Linked DNA regions of Cricetulus griseus. The protein of the gene in region 1 interacts with the protein of each later gene in a pairwise test. Links are inferred from orthologs where the notes say so. Each region holds a gene or a part of one and is shown on either strand. Other genes may lie near its edges.

Region 1 (3,956 bases):
AGCCTCAGAAAGCCTTCCAATTGTTGTTATGTGGACTCTGACTTCAGCTCTTATTGGACTTTCTTTTCCATTGCAATAGTAATCCTTAAATTAAATCTCTCCTCATTACTTTGATGTCCTCCTTGTTGACCTCTAGCAGTAATAAAATTATGGAAATCAAACAATTTTGTACTAATTTGGTCACTTTGTGTTAACCTGTGAATTGAAAGAGAGAAAGAGAAAAAATTCCAGACATTTAGCCTTCTGTTTCTGTCTTAGATTGTCCTAAACTATCATTTGCATTCTAAGAGCCCACAAGAACAAAGCCAGTGCAGCAGAAAGCAATTCCATGTCTAAAAGACAGAGGAGACTTTGTTCCAATCTCTTGTTCTGGTTTTAAAGTTCTTATTGTCTGAGTATCCATGTCTTTTTCTCCTTGTTTGAAAATTGTAGAACTAAAACACGCTTATAGAACCCTTAGAGATCTGAGATTAAATGAAAAAGCCTATGTGCTATGCTGTACTAAGGCACCATAATTACCAATAAATATTTGCTCCCATATATTTTTACTTCATGATAAGCCTCAGCGAGATTCACCTGCTTTCTGTTGCTGGGATAATATGCTTTTGATACTTGCCTGTGGTTTCCTCCATCAGGCAATGAGTTTCTTTGTGGATCACCTTTCCGCAAGCATCCAGTTCCTCCAGCTGTGAAGTAGTTAATGTGTGTTTACAGAATGCACACATGCACAGATGTGTGCATGCAAGCAGAATACGAACAGACCAATGGTGAGCTCAAGGTACCAAAACTGCTTAACTGTTTACACAGGACACATCTACTAATCATGCCAACCCACATCAATTAATCATGCCAACTTGGTTCAGAGTGTAACTGAAGTCGTAGCATTGATTTCAAACAACAGCCATGCACTACGACGTTTCAGATTTCTTCAGAATTTACAGCCTCAAAAAAAGGATCTAGAGGGAAAAAAAATGGGAAATTACTCCAACGTGATTTTCATTTCCTGCTTTGGGCACTGGCTAGACTACTTATACTGAGTTCCATAAACCTCAGCAAAGAGCTGTTTCAGGGTTCTGTTTAGAGAGCCTCAAAACGACAGTTATCTTACTTGGAAAGAACATTCAAGTGCTCTGCCTACCCAAGGCCCTACAAAACAATGGAATATCAAGAGACTCTGGATGAAGATGGGTATACTCAATTAGACTTCAGGACTCGAGGCATCCTAAAAAGACCTGTGGAGTCAGAGAAAGGTATTCATTTTCATTTTCTCTCTGCTTATAGAACCTTCATCCTTATCAACAATAGTAGAGACCTGGGCAGACTCTTGATTTGTAGGACTTTCTAGTGAAATATATATATGTATATGTACATACATGTATATAGATATATATATTGGAAGAGTCATCACAGATTCCTTGGATGTTCACAAAACCTCTTTTTGGAAACTACCCAATGACTTCCACAGATTGTTTTTGATTTGTGGCGATAACCAGGACTGCTCCACTCTGGAGTCACAGATGCTTCATCAGTGGGAAGTGGGGTTGGTAACATGAGTGATAGGCGAAGATGAAGGAATTTTAATGAGTTACTTGCTGCTTGTGAGGGGGCCAAGAAACTCAAAATAGTGTAAATGAACCTGTACAATCTTACTATATATAGTGCCAAAGGGACAGGGTATGAAATCGTAGAGGATTCCATGGAAAATAAAAATGAATACATCTTTGGTGAAACCCAAAGAGTAGCCAGGAGTCACAGAGTTTTAAATCCCAAATCTGATATACTTTTGTGGGAAGAGACTAATTTGAAATTTTCAAAACTTGTTGCTGGTATACCAGGGATGGAAAACATATGCTAGAATAAAATGTCTAATTGGCAGGACATAGGAGATTCTTAAAATGGAAACAGTGCAAGATATACAGAATGTTAAAGGATCTCTCTCCTCACAGGGTAGGTGCTTTACTCTCTTTCTGGATCTCCTATTGGTCATCTCTGTGACTTGGGCTTCTGGTGTTGGTGTGGTAAGCTTAATACAAAATCAGTTCAGCGCTATCATTAAGGAAAAGATGACTCATGGGTTCTGACATTACAATTTGCTTTCTTCTGCTTTTTTGGCATTCACATTATGCAATTATTTTCTTCTTATAACCACTTACACAACCCCTTCCTTGTGCAATTAGCTTGTAAGATGGTAGAAAACTGAGTGAGGGAAGGGGCAAGGCTTTTGCTTGTGCTGTGTAAAGTACAAAGTGCTCCCAGTTGCTGGAAAGGGTGTTTCTATGCATTTTTAGATCACTTACTTCCAACAACAGTATTTTACGGTGTTACTGATCCAGTATCAAAAATGGAAACTTAAAAAATAAATAAATAAAAAGAAGGGGGTGGAGAAAGTAGTTTGTCCAAATGATGCACCAAATAAATAAAAAAGGAAACCTACCCTTAATAACTAGTTCTGTTTCTCCTACAGAAAACTGCTCACCCTATGAACAAGTAGGATTTCAGGGAATGAATAACACCCAGACCTATAGACTAGCATGTGAACCTGCAATTGAGGGGTATGCAGATGGCAAGGCATAGCCAGGAGTCACAGGGTTTTAAGTCCCAAATATGATATACTTTTGTGGGAAGAGACTCATTTGAATTTTTAAAAACTAGTTGTTGGTATATCAGTGATGGAAAGCATATGCTAGAAGAAAATGTCCCATTAGCAGGAGACAGATCTTAAAATGGAAATAGCACAAAATACGCAGGATGGGAAAGGGTGATAACACAGCTGAAGCAATTGAAGAAGAGCCATGCTGAAGCTGGGGACAATGGAGACTCGTACTACAAGACTAGACTCTCAGGACACTGACTCTAGTGGCTGATGACCCCTTTAGAACTGTCCCCACTTCAGTATGCTGGGCAACTAAAGGCTTCCACAGACTTTTCTTATTTTCTTTCTCATCTCTCTGGCTTTCAGGAAGCCGGTCTTCATCTCTCCCTTGGCGTCCCATTGCGGTGGCCTTGGGAATCCTGTGTTTGGTCGCACTAGTGGTTGCTGTAGTCCTGGGAGTCCTAGGTGAGTATGGATGAGGGAGATTAATGACAGTCACAGAGAATTAATCTGTGCATCAATCCCATTGAGTTCATGATATTAATTTCCATTTCACTTATAGGAGAATGGAGAGATTGGAAGATTGACTATTCCATTGCTATAAATTAGTTAGCGGTGGGATCATGAGTAGAAATGTAGACAATCTGCTTAATAAAACATATATTCTTAGCTATATTGCTCTACTATTCTACATGAATATCTTACTTTTTTAAAAGAGGAATTTGTAAGGTAAGTTAGTGGAGGGGAACTTACAGAGCTGGAGAAGGAAACAAAATATGCTGTTATCTTTCCTAGGGCATAGCTATATTAAAGGAGTTGTGTGTAATTTTATGAACCTTTGGACACATGGAAATTATCTCACAGATGATCTTTACTAAGAAAAAATCTTGACTCTTCCAAGTATTGCCTGAGGCACTTAAAACATACTAAGCAGATATTTTGTGATTGACGAATAGATCTCTTTAGGTTTCTATATCTCATGAATCCTGTGTCAATACAATTATATGATCTTTTCAAAGAGTCTTCATTGCTCATAATTAGTCAAATGCTTATTAATGTGTGTACAAACACACTCCATTTATTACAAGCTGGGCAATCCTCAAAGAGCTGCCCTTTTTAAATAATAGGAGAAAGCAGAAAGGATATTATTGTCCTTGAATTATTATTATTTCAAATTTTTATGATTTCAGCTAAGTCTGTGTCATTTTCTTCTTGCTTCCTTCTTCACAAAAGTTATTCCTTTCCACACATCTGATCAATCATCCATGTATCAACCATCAGACTCTGTCTTTTTCATCAGCAACGTAGCATTGATTTACCATTAATCATAGATATTCCCTATTAGCTTTCATAAAATATGGGG
Region 2 (4,195 bases), on another chromosome or scaffold:
ATGGTTGAGCAGTATATAGCATGTGCTGGTCTTGTAGAGGACCGGAGTTTGATTTTCAGCACCCAGGTTGGGTGGCTCACAACTTCTAGAAAGTTCAGCACTAGCGCGATCTGTTACCTCTGGCCTCTAAAGGCAAACATGTGTAATTAAAAATAAATCTTAGACCTGGGCGTTGGTGGCACACGCATTTAATCCCAGCACTCGGGAGGCAGTGGCAGGTGGATCTCTGTGAGTTCGAGACCAGCCTGGTCTACAAAAGCTAGTTCCAGGACAGCCTCCAAAGCCACAGAGAAACCCTGTCTCAAAAAACCAAAAAAAAAAAAAAATCTTAGATTATTGTGTACGTGTGTATGGTTTATAGGGGAGGGCACAGGCCACGGTTCATATGTGGAGGTCAGAGGACAACTTTGTGGAGTTAGCTTTTCATCTAACCTGAGTTCTGAGAAACCAACTCTGTCATTAGGTTTGCACAGCAAGCTGAGCTAGCTCACTGGCTGGTCCTAGAAGTGTGGATATTCCCAGATCATAGTTTGTTTGGTTTTGTTTCACAATTACATGAAAATTTTCAACTTTGCAAACAGAAACAAAGTTAAAAGACAAGTACCGTATTGAGAAAACTTCCTATACAAAAAACCAGGTCAGGGAAATTTGGCAAAGATAGGATGTAGGAGTATTTAGGAACAGTCAGGAGCATACAAGAGTTAGATCATTTCCAGAGATTGGTAAGCGTCAGGGTTTGGGTAGATCTGGTTTTTGTTGTTGTTGCTTTTTACTTTGTGTTTGAAGGCAAAAGGGCTTGCGCTGTAGCCTAGGCTGCAGGGAACTCGCTATCCTCCTGCCTCAGCTTGCGCGAGGGCTGGCTTGACAGGTGTGCGCCACGCCCAGCCATTATAGATTCTTCACTAGGATTGCATGTTACCTTTGCAATTAAAATTTCAGAAATTCCAGGCGGGTGATTAGCTCCAAGGTACCTCACACGGTGTCCTGTGGGAGGCACGGACGGATGTTTCACCAAGGGAAGGAACTGGGGTTTTCTGCTTCTTTAAAGCCAAGGTTGAGTTCTTACGTGTCCGCTGCAGGCGTGGGAGGGACTCCATTCACGCCCGGCGCTTCCGGGCTGCACTCTCCTCCCTGGACCAGACACAAGGCCAACTGCCTAGCTCAACCCTTGTGGCTAGTGCGACTGACTCTCAGGAATTCGTTCCCAGCGCCCGCCCGCCGCCCGCCGCGTCAGCACTACTCAGGCACCCGCACGTCCCGAACAGCCCTCTAATGCCCCGCCCCAGGCCGTCCCGGACACGCCCCCTCCCCGCTCAGACCCCGCCCCCTGCCACCAGTGTTGTCATCACGTGGTCTGGGAGGGTCCTGATGTCACGCGGGGAGGGACTGCGCAGACGCAGAAAAGGGGGCGGGGGGACTCGACTTGTTGTGTTGCTGCCCGAGAGCCGGATACTGTCGTGCTGCGGCCGCGCCGCTCCCAGTCTCCCGACCATGTCTCACTTAGTTGAGCCGCCGCCACCCCTGCACAACAACAACAACAACTGCGAGGAAGGGGAGCAGCCCCTGCCGCCGCCCGCCGGCCTCAACAGTGAGCGCGGGGCCGCCGGGCTCGGCGGAGGGATGGGGGAGGAGGAGCCGTTCGGCCGCCGCCGCCGCCGCCGCGCGGGGGGGCGGGAGCAGACGGCAGCCCATTGGTCGGGACCGAGGCTGCGCGTGTGACTGACAGCGGCGCGTTCCCGTCAGGAGCAGGCGCTCGGCGCTGGCTCGCGGCCTGCGCTCCCGGCGCCGAGGCTTAGGGTCGCGGCGGGCGTCGGAAGCGGGCGGCGCGCGCAGCTGGGGGCGGCTGGGGCTGACGGGCGGAGCGGGGCCGGGAACGTGCGGCGGGGACGCCGGGAGATGGACGCGGCCCGCCGGGCGTGGCGGGTGGACGTGCGGCAGCGCAGGTGTGCGGGGCTCGCCCTATACCACATGCCAGTCCAGGGGTCAGCGGAGTTTTGTGCAGGGTGCTTGTACCGCCCCTGTCATTTACCTTTTTTTTTTTTTTCCTGAGAATTTCCCAAGTTCCTTAAGTGAGTTTTTTTTAATCGTTGTTGTTAACCTGGAATTATTTTATTTTAGTACCTTTTCTTTTTTGAGACAGTCTCATGTAGCCAAGGCTGGCCTCGAACTCGCTGTGTAGCTGATGATGAACTGACCCTCCTGCCTTCAACCTCCCAAGTTCTGGGATGACAGTCATAGGCCACCGTGCTCAGGGCTTTTCAAGTGCTGTTTCTTGTGTGACATGGATTGAGTGGCCAGCCGGTCCCCTCAGATCACACCCATCATCAATCTGGGCAGTGGACTTTGGGAAATACAGTGAACAACACAACAGACCTAGGACACAAGCACTGGCACTTGAAAGTTGATGGTCAGGATGGAGTTGCAATCAAATGGAGTGCACTTCTAACAGACGTCTTGTCCTCAGAGTGTCCCCTGTTGTTGTGAGATCAACCGACCTTCTTGCCCAACCTTTCTGTACTTCGTGTCTTATGAAAGAGGCAGTGGGGGTAGTTGGCATATGGCAAGGCAAAGTTCTTTAAAAGCCATTTGGATGTTTAAAGGTCAGGCGGTGTCTTTCATAAGAGGGGGTGCTTCAGGCGTGGCCAGATAGTTTGACGAAGAGCTGTTGCTGAGCCTACAGGATGAGAAGACCATTTGGGTATTTTACCTCATTGTGGTGGCGCATACCTGTCATTCCAGCAGTGTGGAGTAGAGGCCAGCCTGGGCCCCAGAGTAAGACTGTTTCAAAACAAAACCAAAAAATCAGTAAATAAAAAGAATTCAGGTATTTGAAGATGCTCTGCCCCTGCCCCATCTTTTGATAAGACACATCTCTAAATGCTGGTTTTTAAAAAGATTTAGTCAGTGTGTCCTTAAATGTTACTCCTATCACGTAATATTAAATTTAAAATTTTCTATCTGTCCTTAGCATACATTTTTAGAAATGATGAGACAAAAGAGATACCTGTTGTGTTCTTCCTAGAAGTGGTGCTTGTGATTTGAGTTCCCACGGTGCTTTCAGGAGTCTTGTCTTGGGGTGTGCGTGCTTATTTACATGTGTGCCTTCTGCCTGGTCCCTTCTGAGTCAGTTGTGCTCGGTGTCTTCTTAATACTTAAGTGTTTGGTCAGTGTGGGTATGTGGTTTCACAGAATACAAAGGGATTTTTACTTTCCTTAAGGCTTTATTAACAACAGAACCAAAAAGGGTTGAGCTCTATGTGATTGTTTATCCCAAAGTCTGACAGAGCTTTGATGTGTTTGTCATAGGCCAGTCAGCTTCTGCTTCATTTTTAGTGGCTCTTACAGGAGCAAACGAACCCCCAGCCTACATGTGATACCAGATGTTAGTTTGGAAAGTCAGCTAGATAGAAAGCCTTGGACTTGGGCTAGGCTGCCCTTTTAAAAGTCAACGAAAAGCTGTTAGATGATGCCAGGTTTAACTACTGGCCTTGCCTCTTTGTTTGCTTTGTAAAGCTCATCATACAGCCCCGAGTTGAACAAAACAAGCAGTATTGATTCCTCCAAGTGATTTTTTTTTTTAAGGTGCTGAGCAAAACAGTTTATTCAGGAATTTAATACTATCTGAATTCCTGATAAGTCCAAGTACTTTGCTGGCTGCAGTTCCACAGCTGTGGAAAACAGAAGCTGAAATGAATGCAGATTATCTCTGGCTTGAGATTTTTATCTTTAGTTCAAGAATCATGGCAGAGGAGGTTTTGTATGGGTGTGCCTGCATGCATTTATACTCACCGTGTTCTTGCTGGTGCCTACCAGGGCGGGGAAAGGGCATCAATTCCTCTGGAACTGAAGTTAGATGTGGTTGAGATCCTCTGGAAGAGCAGACACTGCTCTTAACTGTTGAGCCATCTCTCCAGCTCCACAGCAGAGTTTTAATAGCAATTTTTTGAAATTTCTTTTTTTCTTTTCTTTTTCTTTTTTTTTTTTTTTTTGGAGATAGGGTTTCTCTTTGTAGCTTTGGAGCCTATCCTGGCACTCGATCTAGAGACCAGGTTGGCCTTGAACTCACAGAGATCTGCTTGCCTCTGCCTCCCATTAAAGGCGTGTGCCACCCACGCCCAGCTTTTTTTTTTTTAAATTTCTTAAAGATTATTTTAAATTATATACCTATGTATCTCTCACTTGAGTGCAGATACCC
Region 3 (4,268 bases), on another chromosome or scaffold:
CCTACCAACAAGGCTTCCACAGCTCTCAGCCTCAGAAGTAAACAAGAAGCTGAGCAGAACAGGCAGGCAGAGGAGCTCAGACTCCAAGCTGGGATTCACATTTCATAGGGCAGCTGAGATATCCCATGTGACTCAAGTGACCCCTCCTACCCTGGGCTAGACGGTGAGCCAGTGCCGGGCTGCACGTACACCCCAAACAATGGCCCAAATCCTTAGCGTGAGTTTCCACACAGTAACCATCTTTTTATAGAATAAGCAAAGCAGAAAAACAAAAAGCATCTTAACCCTTGAAATGACAAATGACAACCACACTTTACCAATGACTCAGCAGTCTAAAGTGTATGTTAAGGGATTAGGTGGTAATTGAGACCTCTCAGGGGTACCCAGAAACTTCCAGAGATGAAATCTAAGTAGCAGTGATAGATATAAAATCTCAGTAACTACAAAAGTGACTTTACAGCAAACATTATAAAACATTCCTTGATCTCATTTTAAGAGAAAAGACAATAAAGCTTCTCAGTCTGTCAAAGGAGAAACTGCAACTGTTTGACATTAAGGAGTAAAACCTGAATTACAAGATTTTTTTTTCTAATGTGGCTGTAGTTTTAAATACAGATTCTGTAATGTATTAGACTGGCCTACTAAAATTCTGCCTACTAAAATCTTGTTTAGAGTAATAAATAAATGCAGCTCACTGAATCTTTTTTTTTTTTTTTTTTTTTTTTTTTTTGGTTTTTCCAAACAGGGTTTCTCTGTATTGCTTTGGAAGTTGTCCTGGAACTCGCTCTGTAGAGCAGGGCTGGCTCGAACTCACAGAGATTCACCTGACTCTGCCTCCCGAGTGCTGGGATTAAAAGTGTGCACCACCAAGGCCCAGCTCAAATCACTAAATTTTAATACAAGCTTTTTAAAAATTCTTAACACAGCCTAGCAGCGTTGTATGATATTGATTCCAGCACTCCAGGATACAAAGGCAGGTAATCTCTGTGAGTTCCAGGACAGCTATCTATACAAGTTCTAGGAAAGCCAGAGCTACACAGAAAAACCATATTTCAAAAATCCAAAAACAAACCAAATCTTCCCACTAAACTGGGTGCACCTTTAATCCCAGCACTCAGGAGGCAGAGGTAGGCAAACAGTGAGACCCTCTCTCAGAAAAGAAGTTTGTAAAGCACTAACTTTAAAGGTTCAGATGGCCCTCTCATGTTTATTTACATGCTCATTTTACTGAGTGAACTCTTGCTTCAGAGAATACAAAGGTCAACAGGATCCTCCTCCAGTTCTTGGGCCTTTAGGATTAAGGCTGAGCTCTTAACTCGATCCCTAGGGGGCTCTCAGAAATGTATGATGACACAAACAATTCAGGATGGCCTTGCAAAACTACAGCTGTCTGCTCAATGCTAATAGTCTGTAAAGTCTGTATGCTAGGGGAGCCTTTTTGTTTGTGAGACAGCGTCTGGATACACACCCCCTAACTAGCCCAGTACTGCTGTGTAGTTCAGGCTAACCTTGAATTCGTCAAGATTCAGCTTCTACCCTCTCCTGTGATGGGATTTTAGATGTGTTACCACACCCAACGTAGCTTCCATTTTCTTAACCTACAAACCGCTTACAGTGAGATTACTGGGCTGAATCATAAACACTTTACCATTTTGTGCTGTTTGTAGCTCTCATCCACACGAGAAGCACCCCCAGCCCTTCTCTGTGTAGCCCTGGCTATCCTGCAACTCACTCTGTAAACCAAGTTGGCCCTGAACTCAGAGTCCTTCTGCCGATACTTCCTGAGTTCTGGGATTAAAGGGCCACCACTGCCCTTTAAGATAACACTTCTTAAAGATAAGAGGCCGAGCGCTGTTGGCGAACGCCCTTAGCACTCGGGAGGCAGAGGCAGGCGGATCTCTGAGTTTCAGGCCTGTCTGGTCTACAAAGCAAGTGCCAGAATAGGCTCCAAAGCTACAGTAAACCCTGTCTCGAAAACAAAACAAAAACAGATAACAATCTTTTAACTCTGAGTAAGAGATGACTGTGGTCTGAAGCCTTAGATCCTCCTCTTCCACTAAGAAGAGATGACAAAGCAAGCCAGGGGTTGAGGGGGGCGGGGTGTTAATTCCAGCTACTCCAGAGGCTGAGGCAGGATGATCCCAAGTTCAAAGCCAGTATGTCTTAAATTATAAAATGAAAATTAGTAGTGGTGTTGTTCAGAGGTTGAGCTCTTGACCTCGCACGTTCAAACCTGGTTCCATAGCCAGTACCAAGTGGGAAAAGTGAGAGGCACTATGGTCATAAATACTAATGACTTCAATCAAAACACTGAATATTCAACCTGCAGCCTCTGGCTCACTTAAACAACGTTGAACCAGGCGTAGGGGATGCGGAAGGCCTGTAAGCTACTCAGGAAGCTGAGGAAGAAGGATCTCGGGGAGTTCGAGGCTTGCCTGACCTAACGAGACTGTGAAGACACGGAACTATGACAGTGTGACAACAGACCGCGGAAGATCCAGCCCGGCCTGGCTGTAAAGAGACGGTCTGTAAGATGCACCGGGGCTCACCGCCCAACCCCGGCTGCCCCTCGCAGCATCGCGGCCTCCACGCACGACACCCCTGCCACCCCGCGACCCCCTCCTCTCAGCCCACAGCCTTACCCTGCAGGTTCTCCTCCCCGCTCTGCGACATGGTAGCTCGGCAGAAGAGCCCGAGCCCAGCTGCAGCAGGCCTCAGCGGCGGTCACCCGGGAGGGATATACGAGCGCCGCCGCCGCCGCCGCCCGCTCAGCTCTGCGGCCAGCCGACGCGGGGCTGAGGGACAAGGGGCGGGGCGGGGCAGGACGCACGCGGCGGCGGCGGCGCCCATTGGCTGGGAGGCGGGGCCTACAGGTGGAGGAGGAACGCGGGGCGCGTGCGGCACGTGCGGCGCGTGCGCGGGGTGGAGCCTGGTTGGGGCGGAGGCGGGGCCCAAGGCAGCAGGCTCTGGGGGGCGGCGGTTTCTGAGCCCGTGAGCCAAGGAGCTGGGGGCGGGGCCTGAGGCTAGAGCCGCTGGGACCGGGACCTGCACGGATACAGGAGAGGCTTGGGGTGGGCTCGACGCGGGAGCATTGGGGCTCCGAGGTGCGAGCAACACTGAGGCGCTAGGGGAGGGGCCTAAAGCCAGGCTGAGGTGGGCATGGCATGGGCGGGCCCTGAGGTAGGCGTGACGTGGAGGACCTGACGCCGGGCTCTGCTCTGGCTAGCTAGCATGGGTTGGGGACCTCCTCCTGCCCCGCGGTTGACCCACTCTACCCCCAGCTTCCGAACCTGCGGGCGCCAGCGACGCGAGCATGCGGTGGTCTCGCTGTCTCTGTGAACACTTAGGATTTTTGGCTGAATTTTTAAGAAAAACACAATGCTGGAGTGGTTGTGCATGCCTGTAGCCCAAGTCCTGGTTCAAGGCCAGGCTGGGCTGCACAGTGTGAGACTTTCTAAAACAAGGCAAAGCAAAACAAGCAAAATTCGCCAGCATTCTGCTGCAGCAACAATGGTTAGGTGGGGGATGCCATGGCAGGCTGCAAGGGAAGATCAGTGTATTTTGGAACAATTTGGAACAAAGGAGAGGCCTTTGGAGGGACAGTGTTGAGAAGGATTCTGCATTGTCCTTGTACCCTACCCAGTCACTCCTCTGTTCTTGGAGAGTGGAATTCCTCTGGATACAGTTCTGGAATAGAGAAGGGGGGGTGTGAACCTTAAAAGAGGCTTTCTTTGCCGTAGTGAGTCAGATCACAAGAAGCAACTTCATTTGGTGTTTGTTTCTTTCCTTTCCAGACAGGATGTCATAAAGGAGTCTGGCCTTGAAATGTCTGTGTATCAAAAACTAGCCTTGAATTCCTGATCCTACTGCTTCCACCTCCCAAGTTCTTGGATTACAGTATGCAGCTCTGACTTCTGTTCTGTTCTGTCGGGAGTGCTGAGATTATTATATTCAAGGCCTTGCACACAAGTCCACTGCCACTGATCTATGTTTGATTTTTTTTTTTTTTTTGGACAGATTCCTTGTGTAACCTAGGCTAGTCTTGAACTTTGCATCTTCCTGCCCCATCCTCCCAGGTCTTGGTTATAGACAGCTCCACCATTCTCAACCAAAAATTCTCTTTCTTACAGTGCCTAGGGCCTTGCACGTACTGAGCACATTCTCACACACTGCTGAGCTACAGCACCAACCCTATGTCTCAACCTCGGAATTGCTGGGGTCACAGGCACACTACCACACCAGGCAAGAAAAAAACAAGAGCCATGTTT

What was found.
Region 2: the proteins of C-type lectin domain family 7 member A (region 1) and Bnip3l interact in binary tests that used the Homo sapiens proteins (3 or more experiments, as listed by UniProt). The two-hybrid records come from large-scale screens. The link is inferred for Cricetulus griseus from reciprocal best matches to the Homo sapiens genes CLEC7A and BNIP3L.
Region 3: the proteins of C-type lectin domain family 7 member A (region 1) and Bnip3 interact in binary tests that used the Homo sapiens proteins (3 or more experiments, as listed by UniProt). The two-hybrid records come from large-scale screens. The link is inferred for Cricetulus griseus from reciprocal best matches to the Homo sapiens genes CLEC7A and BNIP3.

Annotation. Positions count from the first base shown.
Region 1 is NC_048601.1:16,596,448-16,600,403, forward strand, and holds the start of C-type lectin domain family 7 member A, read left to right. Parts: upstream 1-1,156; coding exon 1,157-1,250; intron 1,251-2,959; coding exon 2,960-3,058; intron 3,059-3,956.
Region 2 is NW_023276807.1:221,983,189-221,987,383, reverse strand, and holds the start of Bnip3l (BCL2/adenovirus E1B 19 kDa protein-interacting protein 3-like), read left to right. Parts: upstream 1-1,395; 5' UTR 1,396-1,491; coding exon 1,492-1,588; intron 1,589-1,919; exon of another isoform or gene 1,920-1,943; intron 1,944-4,195.
Region 3 is NC_048596.1:62,069,220-62,073,487, reverse strand, and holds the start of Bnip3 (BCL2/adenovirus E1B 19 kDa protein-interacting protein 3), read right to left. Parts: upstream 2,801-4,268; 5' UTR 2,674-2,800; coding exon 2,643-2,673; intron 1-2,642. UniProt on the Homo sapiens protein: Apoptosis-inducing protein that can overcome BCL2 suppression. May play a role in repartitioning calcium between the two major intracellular calcium stores in association with BCL2.